2 linked regions of the Lytechinus pictus genome follow. The protein of the gene in region 2 purifies or fractionates together with the protein of the main gene of each other region. This does not show direct contact. Links are inferred from orthologs where the notes say so. Each region holds a gene or a part of one and is shown on either strand. Other genes may lie near its edges.

Region 1 (6,843 bases), on a different chromosome or scaffold from region 2:
TCTCTCCAGTCGAGGGGTAGAGCACCAGAGTCCACTGACAGCTTAAACATCGCTGTAATGCCAGGAGCAAGTTCGGGTGCACATTCCTTTAAAATGATGTTAGGAATAAGGTCTGGACCAGCTGCTTTTGAGATGTTGATCTTGCCAAGTAGCTTTTCCACACCAGAGACAGAAATGTGCAGATCGTCAATCTTGCGTGCAGGCTTGGTAGTTCTTGTTTCAACTGGTGGGATGAAGGTGTCCAAGTTGAAGACCGATTTGAACTGTTGTAACAGCATCTGTGCCTTCAGTCTGCTATCATGGATCAGATTACCATCCTTCTTTAGTGCTGGGGTACCAGTTCTATCTCTCCTCTTCGAGGACACGTATCTCCAGAAGGGCTTAGGATTGTTTTCCTCCAAACCATGCATGACTGAAGATAGGATGAAATTCTCTTCAGCTACTTTGAAAGCCTGTTTGCAGTCCTTCTGGAAGTCTGTATACTTCTTCCATGCACTCTTCTTGGCTGCACCGTGGGTGGTTTTCTTGGTTTTCTTGTAAAGTCTCATTTTCTTCTTCACCATTCGTTTGAGGCTGTGTGAAAACCACGGGAGAGATTTCCTACCTCGCACTGTCTTGGAGGGAACATGTTCATCTAGGATCTGAAACAGTGATGTCTTGAAGTGAGTCCAAACTTCTTCGATTCCTACTTTACAGTCAGTTTTAGTGACGAGTTCAGTAGATAACACTGCAGCTCGCTGGTGAATTTCAGTCCAGTTAGCTTTCTGAAACATGTAACACTTCTTGTTGTTGTGTTTCACAATGTGGGGTAGGATCTCAAAGTCCGTTACTACCATGGCATGGTCGCTAATCCCCGGCGTGCTGTTTGAACTCTTCACCAATGATGGGTTGTTAGTGAAGACGAGGTCTAGCAGATTGTCTTGCCTTGTAGGTTGCTCATGTATTTGATGGAGGCCAAAGTCCAAAGTGATGTCAATAAGAGCTTGTTGTACTTCTCTCTCAGCGGCGCCTGGTCGAGTGCTGAGGTGCTCCCAATCTATGTCTGGACAATTAAAGTCCCCAGTCAAAATAACATGATGGTCTCTGAGATTTTCCATGGTGCGCTCCAACGAGTTGCGGAGTTGGTTTAGGTGTTTCATGTCACGGTGAGGCATATAGAAGGAGCCACAATAGAGTTCCCTTTCACCTTTCAGTTTGATCTTATTCCAAACCACTTCACAGTCCGTTGAGAGCTCTGGTTTATTCTCTGTCGTGATGTTTCTTGAGACTCCAATAAAGACGCCACCCCCGGTGGATTCTCTATCATTCCTGGAGAATTGATGTGAGGAAGGGAAAACTTCTCAATTTTAAAGCAGCTATAACTTTCTTATTGCTTGTCTGATTTCTTTCAAACTTTCACCATTCTGTTTAATTTATTTTTTTCCTTCCCAACACAACATTTTATGGCCAAGGCTGGATTCCTCTTTAAGTTTATTTTCCCCGTTTTGGTGCATTTCAGGCCGGAATGGAATAATAATCTTTAGTTTGGTACAGTTCTTTTTATACATTTTTATGAAATAAAGACAAAAAAATCGATGAGCCCCGTCGGGGGGATTTTGCATTGTTAACCCCCTAATGGTGGCTGCACGGTAGTGAGCCGTCTGTGTACGAGGAGAATTTTTTTTTAAATGTTTTTTATTTTTTATTTTTTTTAAAACTCCTTGAAACAGACGGCTGCCAGCTGTCTAACGACTTCTATGGTTTGATTTTTCTGTGCACGGCGGCATGTAATGGGGAAAGAGTTCCATATGCACCCCCCACCAAAAATAACAAAAGATTGTTGAGACTTCCGGTTCGTTCACTTCAGATTTTTCTATCATTTTTTTACTGTTGCTTACCTTAGTTGGGACTCGAACTCACCTTGTTTGATCTGCAGTCAAGACCTTTCCCGCTATGCTAGCGAGAAGCGCTGATACCGGAAAGGGTATTTTTACGATTATCAGCCGATAGTTCGACTAGTCTTGACTCGCAGACCCTTTACTGACTAAATAAACCGATGTCTATGGACAATTACACGCACAAGGTCTCGCTCGAAATTTGACGGAATAAAGCCATATTTAATTGGTATGTATTTCCACTTCCCCATCATATATGTTCGATATTAGGGCTAGATATATTATTCTGAACCTTCTCCATGTTTTTATTTTCAATTTTAGTGGGGGGTGCATATGGAACTCTTAGACTTAGTCTTACCTGTAATGGACCCTTGAGTGACTCTCAACCAACAGGCAACACCAACATGGCAACAATCACCCACTACTATTGTGCAATGTATGGACTGACTTATCGCACTGCACTACCGTCCATAGTACCAATATGCACTGGGCCTGACTCAGAATTCGCTCTCCTGGGCCCCGTCTTACAAAGAGTTACGATTGATACAATCAATCATAACTTATGGAAATCCATCAGTGCCATAATTTTCTCTACAGTAGGCCCTACAGGAAATTTGCAAAATGTCTTGTTAAATGTTAGAACTTGAAGTTAGAACACACCAAATTGTCAAGAAATCAATGAATTTATGGATATACATTCATATCTAGATTTTTTTTTGGAACAATCATGCATTTTATATGGTGATTTTGCTGGCTGTCCATAGTTGCGATTGATCAGATCAATCGTAACTCTTACTAAAGTAAAAGACGGGGCCTTGATCTCACTGCTCAGAGTCAGACAGCAACTGAGTGAGAGGTGTTGTGAAATCTCCATTCAGATTCAGTGAGTAAGACACTGCACAGTCACTCAGACCAGTCTCAGTCATTCACATCGAGTAACCTTCAAAATCATGTTTTGATACTTTGATAAAATATTTCGTATTCTTAAACAATACTTACAATGGTCCCCGACATGTTAGGTGATATAATAAAGAATAGCCTACTCAGGAAATGTTAATTTAATCGTCTAAATGGATACACTGTTGTCAGAAAGCGTTAGAACGTAATTCTATGACTTGCAGATTAATTCTACATTTGAACGTAGAGGGCGACAAGCCAGGTCAAAAATGGGATCGGAGGGGTCTTTTGTAGAGGGGGATATACAAATAGCGATGAAAAATCTCGGGGAAAAAAAGTGGAAAAGCCTGATTGAGAATTAATCGATATATGAAGAAAATATAAAGGTAAATGACCTTGGTAGAATAGGAAAATAAGGAAAAACAGAATAAGAAGAAATCGGACAAGGAATAAGATTTATAGCTGTTTAAAAACCATACAATTTTATTGGCAATTTAGTGTTATGTGAAGATAAGACATATCTCACATATTCAATAATATGTCAATACATAATCAATACTTAATCAATACTTCTACAGGAAGTATAACATTAAATCATATGTTTACCAACTCCAACTTTCTTAAGAAAGTATTACTCATTCTTCTTCTAGCTAAACTTCTGACGCAAACACATTTTATGGGTTTTCTTATTCACTATACATTGATATGTTCTCCCTAAAAGGTCAACTACCTCAATTCGGAGTAAAGTTATGATGTACAGATTGTTTTGGTCAAGCGTCCAAGGTTGACCAACACCACTTTGGTTGTAAATGGTCTTGACCAGACCAATATAAAAGGGGTTCACTTCTGAACCCAGATCAGATAATAGAGATTGGTTAGAGAATAGATTATAGAGTTTTACAGAATAGAGACTGGAGTTTAGAGCTACAGAAAAGTATACTACATCAGTTTGCAGAGTCTATTTTATATACTTCAGAGTATACTACAGTCCCGGACTACAGTCAGCATCAGACTTACTCATGTATTTATCATCATCATCATCATCATCATCATCATCATCAAGTTATCATCTTTAATAAATTCATATGAACTCTACATCTTGCATTGATTCGTCTCATTTAAGTCTCGATCCAGCGACAACACAACATTAGTGAACAGATTGCAATTATTATACTTTCCCATTTTATCAGGAAATTCAGTGCATTTGGGTCACTCCGGGGATTCAGGCGAATTACGGTGCCCCTGACGGCGCTGACCATGCACTGGCCCATGAGAAAAGACGTTTATCCCTCGATCAAATAAAAAAATAAAAATGAAATAATGTCATAAGATCCTCTGAAGGTTCGTGAACTAAGAATTAAGCCCGTTATAAAAAATGACTTGATATGACATTTTGTTAACGGATATTTACCTAGATATATAATCGAGTAGATGGTTTGGAAATCTATGGGAATTACGTGCAATTAGAACAATAGAATTTCAAAACAAAACAAAAACACGGGAAGAAAATCCTTTTATAATCAATCGGGCGCGTTATACAAAGATAATCAGAGTTAACGAGTACAAAAGTCTGGATCCATTATTTTAGCTGCTGATTGATTCTATTATGATTTGGGAAGAGGCTTTCAAGCTTGAGCTCCATCCCCCTGTCCCCCGGTCTATCCCTCCCCATACTTTCATCGAAAGAAGGGTAGGGAGGATAATTGAAAATATTTCAAACAAAATTCAGTTCCAAGTTCAAATCAAACTAAAAATTTCGTTCAAGCTCCGCGCTCGCATTATACCTGTTCAGTGAGATAACAATCTTCTTATTTAGAGGATATATGGGTTCAAAATACATAAACACAAATTAATCTGCCCGTGATTACAGTTTTCTGTATTTTTTTCTGCGAGATACACGTCCTGTTCCTGACTACTCGTTCTCGTACTCTTTGATCTTTAATTATTAAGGGGCCGGTAAATACGTTTGTTCAGTTTTCAGATCATCGGAATATCAAAAGTGATCAGGTCTCTCTTCACACACATATTGATAATATAACTTTCCTGTTCATAAAAAGATAAACACAACAAAGTGCTCGAATGTTCTGTTTTCAGGTGGGAAAATAAAAAAAAATCACCTCGTGCTTCGCGCTGACTTCATTTTTATTGTATCTTGTTCATGCGTCACTGCAAACAATCCTTATCAGGTCCGGTCAGTAGGCCTATGTTAAAAATTTCAGCTCGATCGCGGTTCTCGCTCGCATCAATCGTTCATTTATATAGATACATATTTTATTCCTGCGTACAAAAATTTCTCGAAATTTTGGCAATTTCTGATAGTGAAATATCATTAAATTTGAGTTCGCGGATCGCTCAAACATTATTTATTCTGACATTATCTTGTTAGTAGTTGGGACGTATCCCCCTCCAATCCCTCCAACACCGACAAAAATCAGCTTTTAGCGGCCGATGGGGGAAAACTAGCTGTGGATGAAAATATTCCCCCGGCCCCTCTATTGGTGAAAGAAAGCCGATCCGCCCCCTGATACTTTTAAGGTGAGGTTATATGGGCCCATGCAGGGTGGAAAGGGCGGTGGGGATGTTCTCAATTTCTATCAACCTGATGACGGTCTGAAGTAAGTCAGATAAGTTTATTCTGATATTTTCTTTCCATACACTCTCCATCGCTCGATCAGCAATTGTTTTTTTTATATTACTATTATTTGATTTTATTTATATATCATTTATTTTTATTTTTATTTATTTTTTGCTAACAAGTGCGAGGGGGGGGGGTATTACGGTGGTGTCGGAAGGCCCGACCTCTCAGTCCCATACTGAGTCGCGAAGCCGCTTATAATTTGTACACTTATTTATTTGAACTTTTGTTACTTTTTAAGTTGATGTTAAGATAATTGGGCCATATATCCTGCACCCCTCATATGAAATTCAAAACTATCAGGACTCAGGCGAAATATATATATGTATATATATATTTTTAAAGGCTGGTTTTGAAAGACTTGTCAATGGTCAATCGCGGGGCCAAACGTACTAAGGTATGTTTTTTTTCAAAGCTTTTTTTTAAAGACTATAGCCAAACGTGTTTAGGGTATTTTTTTCCCCCAGGCCTTTTCCTCCTCGTTTCTGAAAAGTGTCAGTTCGGGTTCTTCCCGATTGTAAGCAACGACCCTGGGAACGGGCATGGGAAACGGGAAAACGCGGTTACTGTTATCAAGTGAGACAAAACTTGTTTAAGGGTCATATTCTGGCGACAACTTGTTTGGGGGCTAAATTGTGTAAAGGCCCGCGAAAAACTTGTTTAGGTGGTTATTTTGCACACAGAGAAAAAAAATCGTTTAGGGGGGTGTTTGGAGATAATTTGGTCACGCATGAGTATATACAGCAATTAGTACATCGGGATGGTATCAGGACAACTACCCCCCGGACAACTACCCCCCGGACAATTACCCCCCGAGGACAATTACCCCCGGACAATTACCCCCCGGACAATTACCCCCCGGACAAATACCCCCTGAGGACAACTACCCCCCGAGGACAATTACCCCCCGGACAATTACCCCCCGGACAACTACCCCCGGACAATTACCCCCGGACAATTACCCCCCCGGACAACTACCCCCCGGACAACTACCCCTCGGACAACTACCCCCGGACAACTACCCCCCGGACAAAGGGAGTGCACAGAGTCATACGTCGGCCGTACGTTTGACTTAAGAAGTACTCAAGGCATTCTCGAGTATCTTGGAATCAAACGTACGCCGTAAGAAGCTGTAAAATTGAGCTCCATCCATAGGCGGATCCAGGGGGCCGAGGGACCCGGCCCCCCCCCCCTATTGGCAGGGCAAAAAAATGAAGAAAAAAAAGGGGGAAAGAAAGAAAAAAAGAAAAAGAAGGGGAAAGAAAGGAGGAAAAATGAGAGGTAAAATAAGAGGAGGAAGACGAGTGAAAAAAAAAGGTCAGGGGATGACTTGGAAAATGATTAAAAAATACAAATTTTTAAATTTACAAATTGATTTTTCAAGTGCTCTGTAAAATGTCCGTTTTATGGTCTAAATATTAATATTTTCAGCTCACG
Region 2 (7,356 bases):
TATCTACTAAAAGAAAATTGATAAATCCTATAATAATTTTTTTTTTCAAAAAGCGAGCGTGTGACATATAGACTTTCTCACTAGCATCTATGCTGTGCATATTTTGTCAAAATAAGCAATTTTTTTTTCATTTTCCATTTGATTTTGATGAAATCTATTTATTCAATTAACCTGCTCTTGGGCTAGACTTGATCTTTAATTAAGGCGCACAAGCAGAGAATTCATATGACCATTACACCACCTGATTGACAACACATGGTAGTGTATCCTATTGCCAGACACCTTTATTTCAGTGTTTTACAAATGACAATTAGAGGAAATGCAATCAAGACAAATTCACACTTGCTATTCCAAATATCAGGAAAATTATGAATATGGTAAATTATTTGATATTTACCAACCATTTTATTTGCATCGCACTTGCCGCATACCCCTCCACGAAAAACAATTATTTTCGTGTGTGACAAATTACATCATGATTCCGGACGGGTGACAAAAGGGAGAAGGGTGAAGATATTCTTGTCTAATAATGATGTAAGAAAGAATTTGTGTGATAATTTTTTTATGTATCACATCATGCGTAAACTCTAAGTTTTGATTGCTTTTTTCATATCGAATCTGAGCAGATGTTGGTAATAAATTTGTGTTTTCTAGATCTAACGAATTCTATTTTTTCTTGTTAGCTTTCCAATATTATGCTCGTTCATATCGTGATGCTTATCAAGTTCTATCCATGCGCCGTCGATGGCTATACTCACGTTAAACATCACGCACAGTATAACCTGGAGTCTAGCCGTCGACGATCACCCACAATACACCACACGTCAACATTCGATCGAAGGCACAGATGAGATTGAAATTTGGCAAATTAGGCCAAAAATTCCGTCAGAAAATATATCAATTGTTAATGCAAAACTATGCTGTATGATATTTTAAGCATTATCTGTCATTTTAGAGATAAATAAGGAAAAAGTTAGATTTTTTTCGACTTTGAAATCTTGTTCCATGTATTGCTCTGTTGAAAAATTGAAATGCTGAAGTCTTACGGTACGAAATCGTTGAGTATGCAATATACATGTACACGTCTGGAATCATGATAAGTGTCCAGTAATACAATACGTGACTAGATGTATACCCTGTGCTTTGACTGATGCTGAAGCTGCTGATCCTGGTCTTGCTGCACCAGGACCTGGAGTAAGTCTACTCAGTGCTGCCTGGCCTGCCATCTGAGAACTAGTAGTAGGCTGCATTCTTGGGGCTACTGGTTTAGATTGACCAGATGTACTGGATGGAAAAAAAGGAAAAGAATTTAGAATAAAACATATCTCGTCAAATATAAAACAGGATTGAATAATATTTAATAGATTAGATTTTAGACTGAAATGAGTTCTATGCCTGCCCTTGGAATTTGAAGTTGATATTTTGAATGGAAAAAGATTGGATAAATGGAAGTTTTGTGTCCAAAAGCGATTTATAATCATCTACTGTATTGAAGTGTGACGTCATCAATTTTCCATTTTTGCATGTCACTTTTTTTTATACCATATTTTGGCTGAGCATGATGAAAACCCCCACAGCCCAAATTTGGTGGGAATCGGTCAAGTCAAGACATGTCATAGGGCCTGGGTCTAGAATTCTTATTCATGGCATGAGAATATAGCCTCCTTCAATTTCTATTTAGTAATTAGTATTAGTAACTGTATAGGCCTAGCTGTAAGTAACAATTCAACTGAATCTTGTTATGGAATTTTAGAAATCCATTTTTAATCGTACTATTTTGCTTATTACTATGGCATATTATGCCTGCCTAGCTTAGACCAAAAGCTTCGGTCTCTGTTATGTTGGTTGCTCCGCTGAATCAACTCCGTTGGCTCCACTCACCAAATACAGAGACCGAAGTTCTAGCTCGATCTGTACAGGTGTATTGTATTGGTTATTCGGATCAACCAGAGAAGTGGGAGTTGCGCGACAGCCGAAGTCACTGTTTTTTTCCCCTTTTAAGTTTATTTTTTCCCGTTTTGGTGCATTTCGGGCCAGAACGGAATAATAATCTTTACTTTGGTATGGTATAGTGGATTGTATTACCGAACACTTTTCATGAATTCAATTATATCAAACACATTATTCTCATAAAATTCACCAAAATTTCACGATAAATACACAATAACCGGTACCTACAAAATATAGGTTATGTAAAAATTTTGCCGAAATCGTTTTTCCTTTTTACGATTTCAGCTTCCAATCGGACCCCTCTTCGCATATGAAATATTTTGGTCACTTGAAAAAGGTATCGTGGCTACACGATACTGATAGCGAGCCGTCTGTGTTCAAGAGAAATAATTTTTTTTTAACTCCTCGAAACAGACGGCTGCCAGCTGTTTAGCATATGCCATAACATAAGCAAAGCCAAAGGGCAACGACTGAAAAATGGTGTAGTCCCATAAATGGCAAACCGTGTCATGCAAAGTTCGAAAGAACAAAAAATAGTTTTAGTCTAACCGTTAGTTCAATTAAATATTAAATAGCAAATACCTGGGCTGTGGCGTACTTTCGTTCAATTTTACTCCATGACCAGCTCTCTTGAATTTCATATCCGTTTTCTTTTTGTCGAAGAATTCCCCAATCTTCTTCATTTTGAACAATAAATTTCGAAACGGCAGCCAACAAAACGAGAGATGAATCAGATAATATTCATAGGGTCTAACGTAACATTAGATGTAAACAATAAACAGCGCCAACATCTCGAGTCGAAGCCGGCTAGAGTAAATTAATTCAATTCAGTTTAGGTAAATATCACAAGAGAGTAGAGTAAGTATATCATAAAACTGGCGGATCAAACAACATAGAAAAGCAAGCGGCTTGAAAATTGGGGGGGATCTATTTTAGGATCCACAGCACAGTGTCAGATGTAAAGTTAGTCGGACCCCCGCAAGGGGCGTTCGTCCCCTAGAAAATTGCCCATTGAACATTAATTTAGCTAAATCCGTCTATGAAAAATTTAATCTGCGCCCAACATTTGTTGGTTGCGCCCCCTCCGTTTCAAATCCTGGATCCCATATTCCGCCACTGGATACATATCACACAAATAATAATTGAATGATACAATGAATGCACCAAATGTTACTTGTATTTTCAAAGAATAATGTTTGCTGTATAATAAAAGGAAGTGATAAGTAGCAAAATGGAATGACAAAACAAAGCAAAACAAAAATATATCACATTGATTGATGGATTCGTTATGTACATATATATATATATATATATATATATATATATATATATATATATATATATATATATATATATGAAGTAAGAATGCTCATCTGTAAAATTGTACTTGATTTATATTACTTTATATTACTTTGTATTATGTTTTGACTGGAAATAGAATAAAGATTGAATTGAATTGAACTGAATTGAATATATACAAAGCAAGTCATCCGTTTATGTTCTAACACACATTTGCCCATGCCCCATCTCTTTTCAATATATTCAACACGATTAATTATAATGCTAAGATTAATACCGTCATATAGTATCAATAATGGTTTACATTGAATTTGTTATAAGAGGAATTGTAAGAGCAATTACATTCATTTATTAAGTTATTTCCTCTTTAAGGATATTCATAGCATAGAATGATTAAGAATATTCCAACATGTCTCACTAAAGCTTTGTTACTCATGAATGTTCTTTAATAGGCCGAGGAATTTTGTTATTTCTGAATAGAGACTGCAACACAAAGAGATTCCAAGTGGTTGTGGTAATGAACAATAGGATTAGCTATGTTGTTTATTTCACTGAGGTCATTCAAGAATGTTCTAAAATTAGACTGCTCTAGAAATTGGCAGAATGTTCTTTTTGTAGACAATACTAGAAGCTTCCATAATAGTAAATAATTTGTATATAAGCTGACAGTTTCTTCAAGGACATCATTACATCATATCAGATCAGAACTCAGAGTTTCACACCAGACTTTATGTCAGAGCAGAGTTTATTTCCAACCGGAATATTTATCCTCTGTGGTATTATTTGCACGCCATCAATGAACTGTTTGCAGTTTTTTTTTGAGAGAGGAATTCTCAGTTCTCATCGAGATCATCAACCTGTTTTAATGAACGCTTTTCAACCCATGGATTGCTGAAATTGACTGTTAATCATCATCAACATCGTCTTCATGGACATTTCAACATGTTACAGTGACTCTTGTTATTCATCGTGCTTCAACATCGATTTCATCATCGCCATCATTGTGAACTTTAATTTAAGGAATCTTCGCCAACCAACTGGGATTTAATTTGGATATACTATCTTAACCTTGGATTGTGCATCTGACACTTCAAGAGACGTAAAACCATTATTATTTTTTATTTGTTTGTGTATGGTTAATTATATTTCCTGTAATAAAAAAAGGAAATCAAATTTAAAACTAAATTTTCATTGTTATTTGTTGCAGTATCGTAACAAATTCAATGATCATTTTCTTATCATTGATAAAAATGTAATATAAAGTTTTCAATATGAGAACTAAGGTCATAATGATATATATGGTTATGATAATATATATGCTTATAATATATATATATATATTTATATATATATATACACACATATATATATAGGCGTAAAATAATCCAGGCATTGAAGCTAGACGTAGTTTTCAAGGTATCTCATTTAATGCTAGCTTTCGGCCAGTAGGGCCTTCATCAGGCCATTATGTATTGAAACAAACAAAATAGAACAAAACCATAAAACCATACAAATAAAATCGTCAATGCCTGGATTAGCACTGCAACACACGTTGTGCAAAGGGCTCTCTTCCTTTATATATATATATATATATGGCCCGGTTTCTGAATTCGGGTTTAACTTTGACCACGGTCTAACGTGTTACTCTGTTCTAAAATTATGGGATGCCAAAAAATTGTAAATCCTGTTAATAATACATTTTTTCTTATCTTTACTATTTTGTTTTCTTTTGCTTTCATAATGAAGGAAATACTTCAGATATCATTCATAGACAATTATGGATAATTTTAGTGTCAAATGAGTTAATAAATTGGATGTGTGCTGTTAAGGATTTGTGCCCCAATGGGCTCTCCATAGTTAAACCACAACTTTAAATCACGGTGTAATTTAAACCTGAGTTCAGAATACAGGCATTTCTATCCCCTCCTATTGAGAACCTACTGACATCTTGAGCTCTCCGGAGTCAATAACTAGTGACAGAGCGACACCTGTCCTTATTCAAAATATCAAGAAATATATAGAGATTATTATCTCGTATAATATGTATCTGTTGAAAATTTTGAAATTAAAAATCATGTTAAATTGAATTGAATTTTTCATCATCATCATCATTATCATCATCGTCATCATCAGACCATAATCACCACCACCACCATCACCATAATCATCATCATCATAATCATCATCATCATCATTATCATCATCATCACCACCATAATCATCATCACCATCATCTTCACCATAATCTTCACCACCACCACCACCATAATCATCATCATCATCATCATCGTCATCATCATCATCATCATCTTCACCACCACCACCACCACCACCACCAGCATAATCATCATCACCATCATTTTCACCACCACCACCACCACGATCATCATCATCACCATCATCATTATCATCATCACCACCATAATCATCATCGCCATCGTCTTCACCATCATCTTCACCACCACCACCACCAAGATCATCATCATCATCTTCATCATCGTCATCATCATCTTCACCACCACCGCTTCCACCATATTCATCGTCATCATCATCATCATCATCATCTTCACCACCACCACGATCATCATCATCATCATCATCACCATCCTCATCATTATCATCATCACCACCATAATCATCATCACAATCATCTTCACCATAATCTTCACCACCACCACCATAATCATCATAGTCATCATCATCATCATCATCATCACCATCATTTTCACCACCACCACCAGCATAATCATCATCACCATCATCTTCACCACCACCACCACCACCACGATCATCATCATCATCATCGTCATCATCATCACCATCATTATCATTATCATCATCACCACCATCATCTTCACCGCCACCACCACCATCACCACCACCATAATCATCATCGTCGTCATCATCATCATCATCGTCATCATCATCATCTTCTTCACCACCACCATCACCACCATAATCATCATCATCACCAACATCATTCATGTAGGCCTAGATCAACACCGCTAAAGGTCAAATGTTTATCATAGGGGCCAACTCTTAACCGAGAGAAACGCACCACCGAAACGTTGATTAGTTTATGATCACAACATATTTTATATAGTTTATGAAATAATAGTGCCTACAATATCTTCTGGGTGCTGCATTGTGGCGTGCGCCTGTAATACATGGAGGAAGTATAAATTAACTGATGCAGAGGTCCGAGGTTCTAGCCATGGTGCACGTCTTTGAGATGGTGATGTTTAAGCCTGTTTAACCCTTAAATGACTGGGGGCATGATGCTCCCCCTCAACGTTTCGTGCAATATTTCCAAAACGCAAAAAAAGATAGCACCGCAAAATTTTATGACTTTTTTTTTGAGGTCTCGCGCAACTTTTGAGACAAAATTCGCGACATAGGGGAGACCGGGGTTAATTGGCACATTTTTGACAAAATGGCTGTAAAATCCAAATAGATTTTATTCGAGAAACAATCAATATATCAGCTTGAAGCATATATCTAAGGGCTTCAAAATAATGTACCCCATAAAATTTTCAACTCTATTATGGTTACTGAAAAAAATCCACCTTGAACAAGACCATCGCAAACGTTCCAACTTACCCCAATACGGGGTAAGTTGGAACATGGTATGGGGTACGTTGGAACACTGCATGGTCAATTAAGAATTATACTAAAACTACTTAAAACTGTAATATTACATGGTTTTAGCCTATTTGCTTTATTTTTTCAAGTTCAAAATATTTAAAGTGTGGATTTGTTGAACTTTATGTTTTCTATTATACAGCCACTCACGCAAGCACACTGTGTAGTAGAATTCCGCGTATTTGGGTGCGTTCGATTTTACATGCAATTAAGTGTACTATCAGCAATTTCATGTACTTCTGCATCAAATTTACAAGACAAAAATTAATTATTTATATTTTTTTCATTAATCAATTATGCAAATAAGCATATGAAATTTGCCCTAAATTTTTTTTTTGCCTTTAACCATATTTATTAAGCTAGTAGAATGCTAATTTTTGGTGAGAGTATCAATTTTCACATTTATAACAAATATCCACCAAAAATTGCCAAAAATGTAATTTCTTATGCATTTTTTGTTTTTTT

The links.
Region 1: the proteins of UBX domain-containing protein 6-like (region 2) and nuclear protein localization protein 4 homolog purify together in Homo sapiens (affinity purification with western blotting; 3 studies listed by BioGRID and IntAct, with this or other methods). This does not show direct contact. The link is inferred for Lytechinus pictus from reciprocal best matches to the Homo sapiens genes UBXN6 and NPLOC4.

The regions. Positions count from the first base shown.
Region 1 is NC_087254.1:29,541,061-29,547,903, reverse strand, and holds the start of nuclear protein localization protein 4 homolog, read right to left. Parts: upstream 3,015-6,843; 5' UTR 2,889-3,014; coding exon 2,874-2,888; intron 1-2,873. UniProt on the Homo sapiens protein: The ternary complex containing UFD1, VCP and NPLOC4 binds ubiquitinated proteins and is necessary for the export of misfolded proteins from the ER to the cytoplasm, where they are degraded by the proteasome.
Region 2 is NC_087247.1:47,551,517-47,558,872, forward strand, and holds the start of UBX domain-containing protein 6-like, read right to left. Parts: upstream 3,008-7,356; 5' UTR 2,634-3,007; coding exon 2,533-2,633; intron 1,285-2,532; coding exon 1,136-1,284; intron 1-1,135. UniProt on the Homo sapiens protein: May negatively regulate the ATPase activity of VCP, an ATP-driven segregase that associates with different cofactors to control a wide variety of cellular processes.